Linked DNA regions of Cricetulus griseus. The protein of the gene in region 2 interacts with the protein of the main gene of each other region in a pairwise test. Links are inferred from orthologs where the notes say so. Each region holds a gene or a part of one and is shown on either strand. Other genes may lie near its edges.

Region 1 (4,145 bases), on a different chromosome or scaffold from region 2:
TCTCTCTCTCTGTGAGTGTGTGTGTGTGCAGGCCTATATTCTAGCCTGGGGGAATCTAAGGCAAGAGGATTAAACAGGCAGGAGGGCTAAACAGTGCTAACAGCGGGCTAAATAGGGAGCCTGTCTGGAAATAAGCAGCTAACAAAAGAAAACAGGAGAAACAAGTGGGATCCTAACATAGAGGAGACAGGTTCAGAGAAGTGAAACTTGTTTTGCATGAGGAAGTTATGCGTATTTTAAAAACAGAGATTAAGATGAAGAGTATTGAAATTAGTTAAAAAGGTCGCACAGGAGAAAACCACAGTAGAAGACTGAAGCCGGGGAAGCTGAGATTTACCGGGACCGAGTCAGTGGGAAAAGTCTGCAAATGTGGAGAGGCAAAAGAGAACTGGGAACGAAAACAATGACTGACAATCTGCCCTAGAGAGCCCACCAAGGAATTTCTTTGTAGCGCATAAAAGCTGACATCTGATATGCTGAAGTATTAACGAGACTGCTGTCCACTTTATTTCCCACGTGCACGGATCTTCTGCTTAGTTACAGGAAAAAAAAACCGGAGCTGTCTGTTCCAAAAAGCTTATCCAAATGAACTGAAGCACGAAGAAGACAAATAAACTGTCTTCTGATGTCAAAAAGTTGGAGGGATCATTTAATGTTGAAATCAAGTTATGCTCATTATTGTCGATCTGGTAGTTAACTTTATTATCATTACATTTGGCTGAGTCATTCCTGGGCCCTAAGTAGAAACGGTCAGATTTGCCACGTGAGAGTAAAACGTTAAAAGAGCAAAATGATTAGATTGGCCTTAGAAACTACTCTGGAACGATAACGAAAGAATAGTAAATCTAAAGCAAGTGCCAAAGCATTGAGAGGGAAGACAGCCCAGGAGCATGTAGCCTGAAGCTTTGTAGCCCTACCTGGGGCCTGGGCGCAGCAGCCAAATGCGCTCAGAAGAGCGATCAGCAGTCCCACTCCCGCTAGCCAGGCGAACCCCCAATCCTGTGGCCGGTTGACTCCGCAGCCCATCTAGGGGCCCCACCCTTCTCCAGACACGGGCACACCCTAAGGTCTGGGAGCATCATCTCAGAGAGATGCAAGTTCTTCTTTGATGTAGCTCCAGAAAAGCCTCTCCTACCCTTGCTCCTCTCCCCAAGGGCAGCGCTGATCTGAGCTGCAGAGTTGGCTGCATTCTGTGTCAGGTGACCCTTCTGCACCCACACCCCACCTTTCTGCATCCCAAACCCGCCCGGGCAGCTCCGGACCGCTTGTGGACTGCGCCTGCGCACGTCCGGGGGCTGGAAGGTCGCAACCAGAGGTGGCGCTCTGGTCTCCAGGCAACGGGGATACCGAGGTGGACAGAGAGCGCCTGCGCGGACAGCGGTTGGGTGAAGTCAGGTGTGGAAAACTAGGTCTTGGAGATTTTTCCCTAAGCAGGAGCGGCCCCCGAGCGCCTCAGGTACGCGAAAAGGAGGGGAGACACCGAATGGATACCACGACCTCCCAAGGGACTGAAGAGTGAGAGTTTATCTCTAGAGGCTGTGTCCCAAGGAGAGTTACGGTTTGACCCCCTGGGACTGAACGTGACTTCCGAGATCCGGATCTAAAGCGCGCTGGGGCGATCAGGTGTCCACCCCCTGGCCCAACACCCTGGTACCCGGTGCGGTTTGTGCCATCGGACATTTGGGGATGAGTGTTTGACAGCTGAGCACCCGCTTCCAGCCCGGGCGGCCCCAGCAGGGGAGAGCCCAGGGAGAGCTTTCCCTCGCGGGGCCAAGGCTCTCCCTCACCCTGTAAAAATGTGGGCCTGGACTCAGAGCGGACTCTGCAGTTTGCGAGAACCGGGGCTAGTAAGGAACAGGCTGCCTGCTTTTTTTGTTTTGTTTTGTTTTGTTACAGATGACCTTCAATCTAAGGCCATTTCCACCCATTCCATAATAGTGTATGGCAGATCAGATACGGGTGTGGCAGAAAGCCAGTGGCTGAACACCTGTGTCCCGTTCATGTTTTGGTCCTGGGCCTCAGCAATGTCTGGCACAGAACCCTCACTCACTGAGTGCGTACTGAAGCAAGGTCCAGGCCGATCGAGCGCCACAGTCCCAGGAAACGAGAAATGTTTAAAGGGAACGTGGGTAGGTAGGTTTACTCTAGCAGCTGGGAGTGAACCTCAGACAAATTCTTCACATGTATCTGTTTTAAATCTCCCCTAGGCATCGGTCCAGGCCCTGAATGGCTGGCCTCCAGTTGGCTCCACATCTGCCTGTGGGCGTTATGTTCCCACATAGTAAAACAGAAGCGCCAGGGCTCCACTCAGCTAAGCACGACCCTTACGAACAACGTGACTCTTCCCAGCGGTCCTCGGTGGGACACTTGAGGAACAATTTCCAGCAGAAGCATTGGAGCAACACAGAACTGGAGCAGGAGGAGGGTGTCTCCACTTACCCCCAAAGGAACATCTGCGCCAAAGCCCGGAGGCACTCCTGCCCCCACAGTGCCAGGATCAGCCAGCGAAGCCCAGGGAGCAATCCCCAGGGCCAAGGAAAGGCTTTGTCTTCCTTGTCAAGCCCTCCGCCCCGGTATCACAAAGCAAACGACCAGGACTTCATTCCCTTTAGGAAGAAGCGAATTGGCGTGGACCGGGCATACCCACTGAAACCCATGGTCCACCGGAAGTCTCTCAGTACAGGCGAGGCAGGCACTGGTGATGGAGACCAGAATGTCTACCCAAGACTTCCTGAGTTTTCAGACAGCAACTTTGGTTTGAGGAGCTGGGTGAATTCATCTATTCTTGCCTCTGTGCAGGCAGAGGAGGTCATGGCAGACCTCCACAGGACCAGGCCCGAGTGGACGCAGATCCAAAGACTAGAAGCTGCAGGGGAGACTTTACAGAGGGAAATCCGAAGGAAGGAGACCCTCCTGAGAGAGAAGCTGAAGAAGACAGAGGAGGGTCTCCGAAGGATCCAGAAGGAAAAGAAACAGGCCCAGCAAAATGAAGACAGAGAGCTACCAAGGATGATGCCTGCCGGGAGAGTTAGAGAAAGTGGCTGCAATGCCGCCTTATCCCCCGAGTTCAGTTCTGAGATGCTCAGTAGAAACAGGAGAGAGGCTCAACCTTGTGAACGGGCTCAGGAAGACTCCAGTCCACTCCAGTTCTCTGACTATGAAATCCAGAGGCTCAAAAGGGAAAGGCTGATGGCCAGCAACCGCAAGGTGCGAGACTCAGCGACACCGGCAGAAGAGTTCTCGAAACCTTCAGAAGAGCTGGGTAGCACACCGCAGGCATCAAGCCTGTCGGGAACGCCGGCCTCCTCGGAGTCCAGCTCCTCCACAGAAGAGCCAGAGCTGGGCAAGTGCAGCTACTGTGGACGCACGTTTCTTTGGCTCAGGCTGCAGAGACACTCTGCCGTCTGTGGCAAGATGCAAGGGTCCAGGAGGAAAGTGTTTGACTCCTCCAGGGCCCGGGCTAAAGGCACAGAACTAGAGCAGTTCTTGAACTGGAAGGGGCCAGCCACAGCCAAGGTAATAAAAGCCTCCTGGATCTGACTTGGTATGGGGGTGCGTGTGATGGCCCGCTGTGTCCTCACCGGTTTCCAATGGGGAACTGGGATCATGTAGGGTGGAGGGGAGAATCACAACTTCTGTTTGCTAGTCTCTGTGATCAGAGCTTTTCGTAGGCGCTTCACAATTCCGTGAGAATCTTACCGCCTCTCATTGTATCCTTTCAAAACTCAAGGCTCGGACATCCCCTAAACACATATGCACACTCAACACATACCAGACCCATCCACACACACACCAGACCCCCCCCCACACACACACACACAAAGCTTGAATGGTTCTATCTATTGTGTTGTCCTCAGGGACCTGTAGGTGCCAGATAACCAGTCTATTGCTGATCAGTAGTCCCGTCCCCGTCCCCCCCCGCCCCGTCTCCCCTCCTATCCCCCCACCCCCCGCTCTTGAGTTAGTTACTCTCTTCACACCTTTATGAGGTGGGGGGGTCAATATTTAAATCTTACTAAAATTGACACCAAAATCTGGACTTTAAAATATATCCTTTTGATTATTGTAAAACGAATTCATGTTTGCTGCAGGAAAAAAAAAAAAAAACAAGACATAAAATGAAATTTTAAAACTTGCATTTTATG
Region 2 (4,250 bases):
AGGCAGAATGGGAATCTTGAGTCTCAGCATGTCCCATAAAGTGAGTGTCCTATACACAAAGAGGCTGAGCCTTGAAAACTGACGAGTACAGATCTTCACAGGAGTCATTCATAGAAATGGGGTTTAAACACAGGCCCAAGGAACGCTGGAGCCCTATTCACTTTCTCGTATTGTAGCTCTCCATTAGAAGCCCTCCTGTGGATTCTCTCCAGTCTGGGTGGCACTGCCCACAGTGCCATTGTCTTAGAGAAATAGGGCTGTTAGAGCTGGTGGCAGAAGACCCTGTCCTTTTTGGCCTCAGTATTGCAGTGACTGATTCCTTGGCCTCTGAGCTCTGATGTGTTCCACCTGCTTGCCAGCCCCCCTTCCTGCCTCCGCCTTCCTCCCTGTACTTAGGCACGCAGAGCAGAGCCTCTAGCTCAGCCCCTCCCCAGCTGGCAGCAGCTGACAAGGCAAATGGGGGTTAATCTGGCCCCTGCTAAGCAGCGACATGTCTCTTGCTGAAGAAGGCGGGGGACTTTCTGGAACTCGCCTGGGTCTTATCTGCAGAGGTTTGCCCCAACGCGTCTTGGGAGCAAGCAGAGGTTCAGTGACATGTGCAGTTGGCTGGTGACAGGACCATCAATCAGACTCCTGTCAGCCTGAGCCTTCTGGGCTTTTGTGAACTAGCCAGGACCCTGGGCTGGGGGGGGAACTGAAGAGGTAGGAGGGACTTCTGGAATTGGGGTGGTGGGAGGGCTGTGAGAGGAGAGAGCATGCCCAGGTATCAGGGATGGGAGAGAGGGACAGGCACCGGCTTTTTTGGTCAACTCGTTTGGAAGTTGACTTGAGACCCTATTAGCCTGCACTGTGGTCACCTGTGTTCTCATTCCCGGGGACTTCCATGTCCCGAAGGCTATGTATAGGGCGTTTGAGTAGGTAGTACAGAGCAGTGGTGGGAGAAACTGAAAGCAGGAAGCTTTCTACCTGGGGTGAGGCTCACATGCCAGCAGTGGGCTGGGGTGGGAGGCAGAGCTGGCCTGGCTGCTCTAACGGGATGGGACATGAGGGAACTTGGGTGCTATGCTGAGGGTTTGCTCTTGTGGCTCTCTTCTCCTTCCTGGAGTGAGAAATGAACCTGTAATCCAAGTGTTAAAACCATGGCCTAGAGCAAAACCCCATTAATTCTGAATCATCTCTCTTGTTGCATTAAGAAAAAAAAAAAAGAAAAGAAAAACTCACCACAAGCGAGCCCTGTGGAGGTGTGCAGGCAGCTGTATTTGTCTGGAAGGCAGAGGAGTTGGCTCCACTCAGGGGGAGGAGGCAAGGCCCCCACCCCCTTGAAACAGTATATAAGGAATCCCAGGCTAGGGGCGACAGCACTGCAGCCTGGTTTCAGCCCAGCTCAGAAGCTCCTGCTAGAGTCCCTCCTGCTTGAAAAGGACACGAAGGCTCAGGCTGCCTGACCATGGCCACCACATTCTTGCAAACTTCTTCCACCTTTGGAGGTGGCTCTACCCGAGGGGGTTCCCTCCGTGCTGGTGGAGGCGGCTTTGGTGGAGGGAGTCTCTACGGGGGAGGTGGGAGCCGAAGCATCTCTGCTTCTTCTGCTAGGTTCGTCTCCTCGGGGGCAGGAGGGGGATATGGGGGCGGTATGAGTTGTGGTTTTGGTGGTGGTGCTGGTAGCGGTTTTGGTGGAGCCTTTGGTGGGGGTTTTGGTGGTGGCTTTGGTGACTTTGGTGGTGGCGATGGAGGTCTCCTCTCTGGCAATGAGAAGATCACCATGCAGAACCTCAATGACCGCCTGGCCTCCTACCTGGACAAAGTACGTGCCCTGGAGCAGGCTAACACGGAGCTGGAGGTGAAAATCCGAGACTGGTACCAGAAGCAGAGCCCAGCCAGTCCGGAGCGAGACTACAGCCATTACTTTAAGACCATGGAAGAGATCCGGGACAAAGTAAGTCCTCATATATATGTCAGACAGAGGGAAACAGGCAGTAGGTGCCCTGTACACATATGCAACAGCAACATTGCTGTTGACTAAGAGAGTCCTTCCCTGCTGTGTAACCTGGCAAGGCTGGGATGCACCTGCTTCCCAGGCACATGTGGGAACACACGTGTTCCACTTGGCAGTGCTGGGGGAGGGGAGGGAGTGGTCTTGGGAATCTGATTTGGATACACAGGATTGCAAATGAGGGCAACAAAAGAGAGCAGCTCCTTCTCCCTGCCTCACAAAAACTTTCAGGGATTTTTGCAACTGATTGCTTTAACTTTGTGACCCGTGTGCTGTTCAGGCACAACCTCAAGAGTCCTAAATGCCAGGGCTGTTTACTTCAGGCCTCAAGGATGTCTTTATTGTTGATCATTGCTAGATCTTAGGAGACCAGGGAACTCAGTGGAGGCTGTGCCACCCCCTCACTTTCCCTTTTAACTAACTGGATCTGTTTTCCTTAGTGGCAAACACGTTCCTTAGCTGCTGTCCAAGTTCCCAATGACTGCAATGTTTTGGAGATGAAGGGCTCTGTCAAGGCACGCAGGAGGCAGCCACTGTGAGCTGTGCCCAAGTAGGCTGGTATAGTGTGTCTCCCGAGAGTCCTGACCTGACAGAGCCAACTGTATCCATTGCAGCACGGTCTTGACTAGCCATGCCCCCAGGCAATCCCAGGCAATACTGCCTCGTTAGTTTTCCATTCCTTGAAGATGCCACAGGGAAGGGAGCATGGGCCAGCACAACTGATGCACACAGGAAGAGAAGCTGGGCAGTAGTTGGCGAAGGGGGTCGTGCAGCAGCCCTAAGGTACAACTCTGTCTCCTGCAGATACTGGCGGCCACCATTGACAACTCGCGTGTCATCTTGGAGATTGACAATGCCAGGCTGGCAGCGGATGACTTCAGGCTCAAGTGTGTTCCCATTTCTCCACCCCTGTCCATTTCACCCCCTCTACCTAGCCTTCCTCCTCTATGACTCAGAACCTGGGCCCCTCACCTTTCCTGACTTTGGCTCCTCTCCCCTCCCCAGGTATGAGAACGAGCTGGCCCTGCGCCAGAGTGTGGAGGCCGACATCAACGGGCTGCGCAGGGTGCTAGACGAGCTGACCCTGGCCAGGACCGACCTGGAGATGCAGATTGAGCACTTGAATGAGGAGCTGGCCTACCTGAAGAAGAATCACGAGGAGGTAACAGCAAGACAGGGTGGTAGGAAGAAGCCCAGGACAGCCAGTCTTTTGTCACAGTCCTCTGAGGGCTTGGGGATTAAGAAATGTACCTGGGGGGCCCCATGGAAGAGAAGGGGCACTAATCTCTGGTAATCTGGACCCAAGGCCAAGCCATGTGTGAACTGCAGAATTGGTTTGCTTCATGGGCTTATTATCTCAAGGTCCTTGTTTCTTAGGACCCAGAGCAAGAGAGATCCTCAGAACTGAGGGGTCCATGTGTTCCAATGGGGAATAGAGATAGGGTGGTGTGATGTGCTAAGGTCACATTGTGAGTTAGAGACAGTCAGAGTTAGCCCTCAGGACTCTCGATTCTTTGTCTGCTTTATAGCCTTGTCTCTAAATGGTTGTCACTCCCACCCCTTGCAGGAGATGAAAGAGTTCAGCAGTCAGCTGGCGGGCCAGGTCAATGTGGAGATGGACGCTGCACCTGGGGTGGACTTGACCCGCATGCTGGCCGAGATGAGGGAACAATATGAGGCCATTGCGGAGAAAAACCGTCGGGATGCAGAGGCCTGGTTCTTCAGTAAGGTGGGCCTGACACCCCCAGCTCTGCTCTCTCCCTCCTTCCCACTCCAGAGGCCTCTGAGGAGGCCCATGAGGCTCATGTTTCTCATGTGTGACTTGCAGACGGAAGAGCTGAACAAGGAGGTAGCTTCCAACACAGAAATGATCCAGTCCAGCAAGACGGAGATCACAGACCTGAGGCGCACCATGCAGGGGCTGGAGATCGAGCTGCAGTCCCAGCTCAGCATGGTACGGTCACTCTCTCCCTACTGGGTGACACATGGCCAGTAAAGCCTCACCTCACACATTCCTGTCACCTCAGGCAGTCCTTACCACCCTTCCTGCTCTTCTCCCTCCAGTGGGTTGCCTTCTAGCCCAATGGGTTTATGCATCTGTCACCCCACCAGAAAGCCGGGCTGGAGAACTCTCTGGCAGAGGTGGAGTGCCGCTATGCCACACAGCTGCAGCAGATCCAGGGGCTTATTAGCAGCCTGGAGAGCCAGCTGAGCGAGCTCCGCTGTGAGATGGAAGCTCAGAACCAGGAATATAACA
Region 3 (4,162 bases), on a different chromosome or scaffold from region 2:
TGACAATAGCCACCCTGACTTGTGGAGAAGAAGTGGGTAGGCCCAGGGGTTGGGAAGGGTGGTTATCTCTGTAAGTCCAAAAAAAGGCAAAGAAACAGGCTTCCTGGAAGCAGAGATACCTTTCAATTCTCTTTCTTATCCTCCTATGCTCAGGTACCCTCCCAGTGCCCCCTTCTTTGGACAGAATCCTATCTCTTTCCCATTAGGGCATCAGCTGTCCTCTGTTCTCTATCTTGAGCATTCAGGCTTGGTTACTGCGATCACCAGGCCAGTGGGTGGCGTCTATCATGCTCCTCCAAACTCACTCAGGGCTTACTTGGGTCACTCGGTTGCCCTTGAAACTCAGAGACCAAAGAGAGAGCTACTGACCTGTGTCCAGGAGCACTGGATGGGAGCTGGGGGTTTCTTTCCCAGCAGTGATGGGACCGCAGTGTAGAGTCCAGAAGCTGGAGTCTAACTGGGGCTGGGTAATCCGGAGCTCAGGTTACTAGCTAGATATATATAGTATCTTATCTGACCTCGAAGAGATGGCAACTCACTTGCATTCCAAGCCCCAGGAGAATTAAAGGGGCAGTGACATGCCCACCTTCCACCTGATGCCCAGTGGCCGGGTGATAGCTGAGGAGAACCAGCTAGAATCCTGGGAGGGGATATTTGGAACTAAAACAGGAAGGATCAAGAGGGAATAGAGCAGAGGGCTGGGGCTGAATTGGAGTCCCAAACATGGAGAAGGTGGATTCTCTAGAGCTGTCAGTCACAGACTGAGTGAACAGGAACAGGCCAAACTGCGAGTCCAGTTGCAAGGGATTCTGAGATGGGGAGGACCTGCTCCAGGACACATGGGCAGAGATGTGCTTGGGATCAGCATTCAAGTTTCAGTCCACTATTTTTTTTTTTTTTTTTTAATTGTGGACCTCTAGGTCTGGGCCTGAATTCCCATCCTTCCCCTTATTGGATCTAAGGTAGGCTCTCTGAATCTTAGCTATGTAATTTGTAAAACCCGAACAATAGAACTAGGGCTGGTGGCACACAGGCCTTTAATCCCAATGGGAGGCAGAGGCAGGAAGATCTATGAATTTAAGGACCACCAGTCTACAAAGCAGAAAGCCAGGGATACCCAGAAAAACCCTGTCTTGAAAAAACCAAAAACAAACAAAAACCCAAATGAATGCACCAACAAACAAACGAAAAAAACTACGAATAACAACAATAGTGATTATGGTATGCCTCACAGTGATGAGGACAAAAATCATAGTTTTAAGCTTCCTTGAACATAGCAAGAGTTCAATAAATGGCAATCTTATTGATTATTTCCATTTCTTATCTAATTACTTACTACTAATGTTAGCAGTAGCAGGCAACCTTTCCTAGAAGGTGACCCTTCCTAGAAGAAAAAGGCCTCAGGGCACCCCCTCGGGGAATTGCTCTGATGCCAGAGACCAGTCCTGTGGTTTTCTGAACTAGCCCAGTCCCCAAAATGGAAAGGGTAGACGAATCTTGCCACCTTCCCAAGGCGATAGGCCAAGCCTACTTGGGCTTCTTTCCCCTTTGCTCAGAAAAAAATATCAAGTGCGGTTTCCCTGGGCTGCCAGGAAAATGCCTAGCTCCAGAGGGGCAGTCCCAGTCTACCTGTTGGAGGACTCAGGGTTCCAGGGCGGCAAAGGCAGGCTGGACAGGGATTACTAGAGGAGGGACTCTCTGGTCTTGGTGCACCTGTCTGCTCCCAAGACGATTCTTCTGTTTCTTGATGGCTCTCCCTGAAGACTGGAAGGCCCCAGGGCTGGTGCCTCCACCCTGTCTCAGCACGGGGTACTGACTCAGACTGGGTCCTGACTATGCACTCCAGAGGACGCCCTCATTCCAGTCCTCATTCCAGAGTGGCTTGCACCTACAGCATCAAAGAGTAGGGGACACCCTCTATTCTAGCCCACCTACTAGTTCTCCATGCCTCTTGTTTTGTAGGCGGATTGATGTGTGTGCTTTTCCTTACATTTGGAGAGATAAGCAGCCCCTACTGAGATCTTCATTGCAACCTCATTCTCAAAAGCACTGGGGGTCAAGAGCTAAGAGTTCTCCCTTCTCTGAAGAGCTAGAAGGGCTTGGCCAGGACTCCGCTTGGCAAGCTGCTTGTCTGGGAACACTGCATGGCTGCTTTTGCTTTGGGATTGGTGAGAATTTTAAAGTTGCCTCTTTCTGATTTGGGATTGGTGGAAAATTTCCCTTCCGTTTAACTGCTGGCTTCCCCCTGAGCCCCCTTCCCCCGCTTTGGAAAACTGACCAGAGACAGCCCCAGGAGGTTTGACATCAGGGAGGGAGGTAGCTGCACGCACACGTGGGGAGAGGGGGGTGTCAGGGTCCAGGCGTCATTCTCAGGCTACACACCACACCGGGCACGGGGACCTGTACCCGCGGTAACTGTTTCCTCAGAACACATTGATCAGCACACAGATGGCTCTTCCTGGCACCCCGAGCTGTCAGCTGTCAGTCCCTCTCACACACTGGCACCCACAGCTGGAGTTCCCCCGCACAGTTGGCCCTCGCCCTACATTTCTCATGTCCAGACTGCCCAGGCTGTCGTTGACACCCTACTTTCCGAACCTCCAAGCTGGCACCGACCCCGGCTTTCCCCTTCCCCGATCTGCGACAGGTGGCACGTACCTGCCTCTTCTCGGAGGATGGACGAGTCGAACCCGGCACAAGCATGGAGCTGCGGATGAGTCCTGGCTGGTACTGGCGCGGCGCAGCGAGCTGTGGCTGACGCAGAGGGCTCCCTGGCCTCGCTCGGTGCTTGCCCGCCTCTCCCCCACCTCCGCCGGGGGCCCAGAAAGGACCTCCCCGGGAAATCGGCGCCACCCAGCGGGCAGCCGCCTCATTGCGCCCGGGCCGGGAAAGCCACACCCCGAGTTCGCATCACTGATATACGTCATGGCTATTGGCTTGTTCCTATTGTGGCGTCAATGGGGCCCCGCCCTGCGTGAATCTCCCAGGCAACCACTATATACAGAGAACCACGTGCAGCAAAAGCACGCCTGTTTGGAGCCGGTGGCGCAAGGAAAGAAGTGGACTGGAATGTAACAGGTCCGGGCGGTTGGAAGGACTGAGACAGACGGTCACGTCACGGGAGAAGGCGGCATATCAGCTTTCAGCTTTTAGGGAAGGCTTAATGTTCCTCCACGCTTTCCTACCGGGCCGGGAATGATCTATTCTACAGGCTCTTTTCTTTATGCCTACCCTTTCATTTTATTTATTTATATTTAAAAATGCATTTATTTAAACGAACAATCAAGTACATGTCATAACAATATTTACGGAGCCCAATCGATCAGATAAATAATAAAAATCCTAGCAGATAAATCAATAATAACAACAATAATAAACAGATAAGGAAGATTATGTCTGTTCGACATGATACTATCACATTTCCATTCAAACAACTCATCCTATGGGCTACTTATTTAGTGCATTACTTATTAGACACTGTGACGAGTATTTTGCATGCATTAGTTTTCTCACTTAATCTTTTTAGTGGTCCTGTAAAATGAGAACCACTATTATAGCCATCTGCTGCACGATGTAGCTGAAGCCTAGGGAGAACACATACAGATAGGTAGTAAATTCCAGCACAGTATGGTGGTTCATTTGGTGACTTGCCCCAATAAAGGATAAATATTTTATGCTATTAGCATTAGAATAAAAAGAGAGGCAACTTGTATTTTAATCTTAAGTAAACCTGACTTCTAAAAGTTATTTATTTATTGATTAGTTGGATAATATCCTTAAGGAATCAGTCACTCTTAAAGGCACCCTGCTCTTTTTATTTGTGTAGGGCTAGTGGTGAATGATGACTGGAGTTGGTAACCACGTCAATGGGAAGAATTCTCTGAACTCTTCAGAAAAAGCAGAAGTTGGCCATAAGGATGTCTAGTGGATAAAAGCACTTGCCACCAAGCCTGACAACCTCAGTTTGCTTTCCAGAATTCATGAGGTGGAAGGAGAGAACCAACTCATGTGGGTTTGTTCTCTGACTGCTACATGTGCACGTACAAACAAACACATGTAAAAACAAAAGTGAAATGCTAACTCTGCTGGGCTTCCTCTTAAAGAAAAAGCCAAGGCAAATCTTGAATTTTTCCCCCCTCTTGATTTTTTAAAAAGATTTACC
Region 4 (4,305 bases), on a different chromosome or scaffold from region 2:
TCCACATGCCTGTTATGTGGAATATGTGTTCATGGAATAAAAGCAGTAAGCCCCTCACTTCATAGGGTGGAGGTACATCGCAACTCAGAATGGTAAAATACGGAGTACATTGCAAGTGGTCTGAGCCCAAGCAGCTGTGTGTTCACTCTTCCCTTTGCTTCCTTTCTTCCCCGAAGAAGGTGGGTTTCTAGGGTTGACCATTTTTACGACATTTTGCACCACCCCACCTGCTCCTCTGTCCTTTCAAAGGAAACCTGGCTCAGGCTTGGTAGACAGGGAGGCCTTTAGTTGCTGCTGAGGAGGATCAAGAAGGCTCCAGGCAGTGGGGTAGAGCCAGCCCAGCTGTCCAGGTCAGAGACACCCGACTGGGCATTCTCCAGGGCAGGCCAGGTTCCAAGCTATTTCTGGAGTTTTCCCCAGGATCATGCCCCAGCCTGCCTATGAGGCAGCCTTGCTCAGAGTGGCTTTGCACGAACCTCAGGGAGAGGGTTATGAGTGGGTGTGGATGCCTAGGACAGTGAGCGTCTTTACGGACCCCCGCCCCCAATATATGCTCCTCCTCTAATTCAAACTTTGGGGACTCAGTTTGCACCCTGACAAAATGGGAGCAAAGGCAGATTTACAGTGGAAGAGGGAGAAGGAAGGGAAAGGCTGGGAAGGTAAGGCTTGAGTTAGACCTGTGGCCACGCCCATTTCCTGTCCTACAGTACCCTGTCTAGGCCTGAGCTCACATGCAGTGTTTATCCCCAGCTCAGAATGTGAAGAAACTTGCCCAAAGTCACACAGCCAGTGACAAATCACAGGCAGAGCAGTGACCTCATAGCTTTCTGGAGATGTAATCACCATGTCTACTTAGTGGCTTCTGAATTAGCTGTCCCACGGTCGAAACTACAAAGTGTGTCGTGTGTGTCATTTTCACTCAGCGCCTTTGCTGGGTAACCCACGTTCCTCTTGGTGCCACATCAGTACTTAAGGAGTTTCCGGTTATTTCTCATCAGCCCCTACTGGCCACTATGCATCTGTCCAGTTCCCGCTTGCAACAAGCCATGGCCGCAATGTAGCACCTGTCATTTTGCCTAAAAATGAGGTAGCTGGATGGGGTGGGAGGGTGCAGAATGCGTGTGTGTGTGTGTGTGTGTGTGTGTGTGTGTGTGTGTGTGTGTGTAACATCCATGCCTGTGCTTGCCAGAGTCTGCCAGAGCTGACATCACCCTACCCTGCTCCACCCCTGGCACAAAACATAGCAAATGGCCAACAGACGTTGGCTTTGATCATCTTGGTTCTGGAAGTTTCGGGCACCCTGACATTTTGTGACTGTGCTAAGCATCTTACCTGTCTGACACATTCAAGTGGAGAAGACAATAAACTGCCTAGTAAGACACCTAGTGTACAATGTGGAACAGACACTACTGAGAAAAACAAGGCGGCCACAGGAAGCCAAACAATGTAGAAAGAACAAATGAGGCAGGGGGTGTAGGCTCAGGAGGTATATGTTCAGTGGGTGTAACACAGTTGGTAGAGTGCTTGCTTAGCACGCACCAAGCCCTGGGTTTCATCCTAAAAATGACAAAAAAACTGGTGTAGTGGGGACCCATGCTTGTCATCAGAGAAGACAGATTCAGGGGGACGTTCAAGACCAGCCTAGTATACATAGTAAGACTGAAGCCAACTTGGGCCACACAAGACCCTCAGGGTAGGAGGAGATGACACATGGACAGACAGGCAAACACAGACTACCCCCAGAGCCAGAATGAGGAGTGGAGGATGAGCAGTTCCCCACAAAAGAGGCCCTCCATCAAATCCAGTTCTTCTCTGAATAGGTAAGACTGTGACTTTGAGCAATGGGCTCAACTTCTCAGAACCTCAGTTTCCCCATCTATGAAAAGAGATCAACAACAGACAGCAACCTGAGCGGGGAACATAGGCAGCCTAAATTATATGCTCCATTTGGGAGGGCCTACCCAGCACCCAACTCTAAAGTCCAGTGACTAGCAACTCTGGCTTAGAGGCTGATCCACCCGCCTCCAACACACAAAGTACACACACACCAAAGTACACACACACACACACACACACACACACACACACACACACACACACACACTACACACCACACACAGGAACAGACTCCCAAGAGGCCCACATGACTTCCAGGGCATTTGGATTTTCTGTCCTCCGGAATCTAGCCTGCCCCCCAGGGAGGCCCTCTGAGAGGGCAGCACTGGGATTCCGGACCATTCAGGCAGAAAAGTTGCCAGAGTCCCTGAGGAACGGAAGGCCATATGTCCTGAAGGGAAACTCCAAAGACAGTTGGGGTAGAGGTAGCCTAGCCCTGAGATCCCATAAGCCACATTCAACAAGCCCCTGAGAGTGACCAGCAGGGGCCCTCTGAACCTCTCAAAGAAAATCTGCCTGGAGTGGAGGCTGCAGGGTGGGACAGGGGAACAGCCGGATCCTCCGCTGGCCCCCTGGGCTGGACACTAGATAGACGTGGACCCTCGGTCAGCCCTCTGTGCTGGCACACTCGCCTCGAATGGTGCGTGGACCTACCCCAGACCCTGTGAGCCCCCTTACCCCCATGCTCACCTGCCGCCTGTGTCTGGAGGGTCCCCCGCGCTTCTCGCGAGCTGCCGAGGCTGACAGCTGGAGCGCTTGGTCCCAGAGCTCTGAGGCGGCCGTCGCGTGTTGAGACAGGCGGGCTCTTCCGAGAGGCAGGCCTTGGCTGTCCTACCGTCCTGCCGGACGAAGGTCCCCAGAGCCCGGAGGAAAGGGAAGTGAGCGAGCGGTCCCCGTCGCTGCAATGGTTCGCCCCGGACTTCCTGATTGGCCCTTCGCTTCCGTTCGAACGGCGCGCCACCCGAGTTGCCAGGCAACCTCAGGAGCAGCAGATGGGAGCGGGGCTGGCCCACGGTGGCCGCCAGGAGCCCAGCTGGCCGCGCGGCCTTCCGGCTGCCCCGGCCCTGCCGGCCAATGCGTTCCCTTTCTTCTTCTTCTCGTCCAGCTGGGATTCCCTCGGTCCCCACCTGCAGGAGTTGCTAGTCCCAGATTTGTTTGGTTTTGCACCGGCCCTAGTCCCATTTTTTTTTTTTTCTTTTTTAGGAAGGGCCTTGACATATAGCTAGCACATACTGGCCTCTCTTCACTTTTTTCTTTTGAGACAGGGTCTCACTAAGTTGCCCAAGCTGACCTTAAATTCACGCTGTGGTCCAAGTAGCCCTCAAACTTGTTATCTGCCTGCCTCAGCGTACCGACGAGTTGGTATTACTTGCCCAGCAGCCAACCTAGGTCCTGCTCCCAACTCTGCAGCTTCCTCTCTGTGTTTTCCAGGATCCCCTCTCCCTCTCCATTACCCTACTGCAATGGTAATTCAGTTAGTTTTCAAACGTGCACACCAGTAATTCCCACAATGCTTATCAAAATCAGGCCAATAGCCGGGCGTTGGTGGCGCACGCCTTTAATCCCAACACTCGGGAGGCAGAGGCAGGAGGATCTCTGTGAGTTCAAGACCAGCCTGGTCTACAAGAGCTAGTTCCAGAACAACCTCCAAAGCCACAGAGAAACCCTGTCTCGAAAAAACCAAAACAGAAAAAAAAAAAAAAATCAGGCCAATTACAGTATATAATATCCATCCTGGGAAGAAGCTAAATTGATCTTTCTACATAAATCTTATCAATACCTACCTTCAACTATCTACATTTTTCTGGTTAGGAATATTATGCAGTAACTTAAAATGATGCAATTAAATAGCATTTTAAAATAATGGAGGAATGCTAGGAAGTGTTGCCGGATTTTTAAATTTTATTTATTTTTAATTTTATATGCATTGATGTTTTGCCTGCATGTATGTCTATATAACTGTTGGATCCCCTGGAACTAGAGTTACAGACAGTTATGAGCTGCCATGTGGGTGCTAGGAACTGAACCTAGGTCCTCTGGAAGAGCAGCCAGTGCTCTCAAACACTAAGCCATCTCTGCAGCCCCATAGTGTTATGTTTTAAGCATGTTTCAAAGCACTCCTTACAGCATGAATAGGTAGTAAATACATAACCATATTATTCATACAAAAAGCATCTCCTATTTACAAAACAGCAGCTAACTCTTTTGCATTTAAATATGCTTCCATTCACTCTTTGAGAATGTCATACATACATACATACATACATACATACAATGTATTTTGATCATATTTGCTCCACTTTCCCCCCCAACTCCTCCTACATCCATCCTCATTCTCTCCTTCCTTTCCTTTTGTTTTTTATAACCCACCAAGTCCAATCTGCTGCCCAACTATTCATGGGTGTAGAG

The links.
Region 1: the proteins of Krt15 (region 2) and Zc2hc1c interact in binary tests that used the Homo sapiens proteins (3 or more experiments, as listed by UniProt). The two-hybrid records come from large-scale screens. The link is inferred for Cricetulus griseus from reciprocal best matches to the Homo sapiens genes KRT15 and ZC2HC1C.
Region 3: the proteins of Krt15 (region 2) and Usp2 interact in binary tests that used the Homo sapiens proteins (3 or more experiments, as listed by UniProt). The two-hybrid records come from large-scale screens. The link is inferred for Cricetulus griseus from reciprocal best matches to the Homo sapiens genes KRT15 and USP2.
Region 4: the proteins of Krt15 (region 2) and Fam110a interact in a two-hybrid assay, tested with the Homo sapiens proteins (2 studies listed by BioGRID and IntAct). The two-hybrid records come from large-scale screens. The link is inferred for Cricetulus griseus from reciprocal best matches to the Homo sapiens genes KRT15 and FAM110A.

The regions. Positions count from the first base shown.
Region 1 is NC_048598.1:118,492,749-118,496,893, reverse strand, and holds the start of Zc2hc1c (zinc finger C2HC domain-containing protein 1C), read left to right. Parts: upstream 1-1,345; 5' UTR 1,346-1,456; exon of another isoform or gene 1,457-2,129; intron 2,130-2,207; 5' UTR 2,208-2,226; coding exon 2,227-3,516; intron 3,517-4,145. Other genes in the region: Acyp1 (acylphosphatase-1), read right to left, coding at 918-1,026.
Region 2 is NC_048600.1:112,452,051-112,456,300, forward strand, and holds the start of Krt15 (keratin, type I cytoskeletal 15), read left to right. Parts: upstream 1-1,447; coding exon 1,448-1,936; intron 1,937-2,797; coding exon 2,798-2,880; intron 2,881-2,998; coding exon 2,999-3,155; intron 3,156-3,560; coding exon 3,561-3,722; intron 3,723-3,821; coding exon 3,822-3,947; intron 3,948-4,105; coding exon 4,106-4,250.
Region 3 is NC_048597.1:155,764,869-155,769,030, reverse strand, and holds the start of Usp2 (ubiquitin carboxyl-terminal hydrolase 2), read right to left. Parts: upstream 2,801-4,162; 5' UTR 2,659-2,800; intron 1-2,658. UniProt on the Homo sapiens protein: Hydrolase that deubiquitinates polyubiquitinated target proteins such as MDM2, MDM4 and CCND1. Isoform 1 and isoform 4 possess both ubiquitin-specific peptidase and isopeptidase activities.
Region 4 is NC_048599.1:28,036,664-28,040,968, reverse strand, and holds the start of Fam110a (protein FAM110A), read right to left. Parts: upstream 2,801-4,305; 5' UTR 2,587-2,800; intron 1-2,586.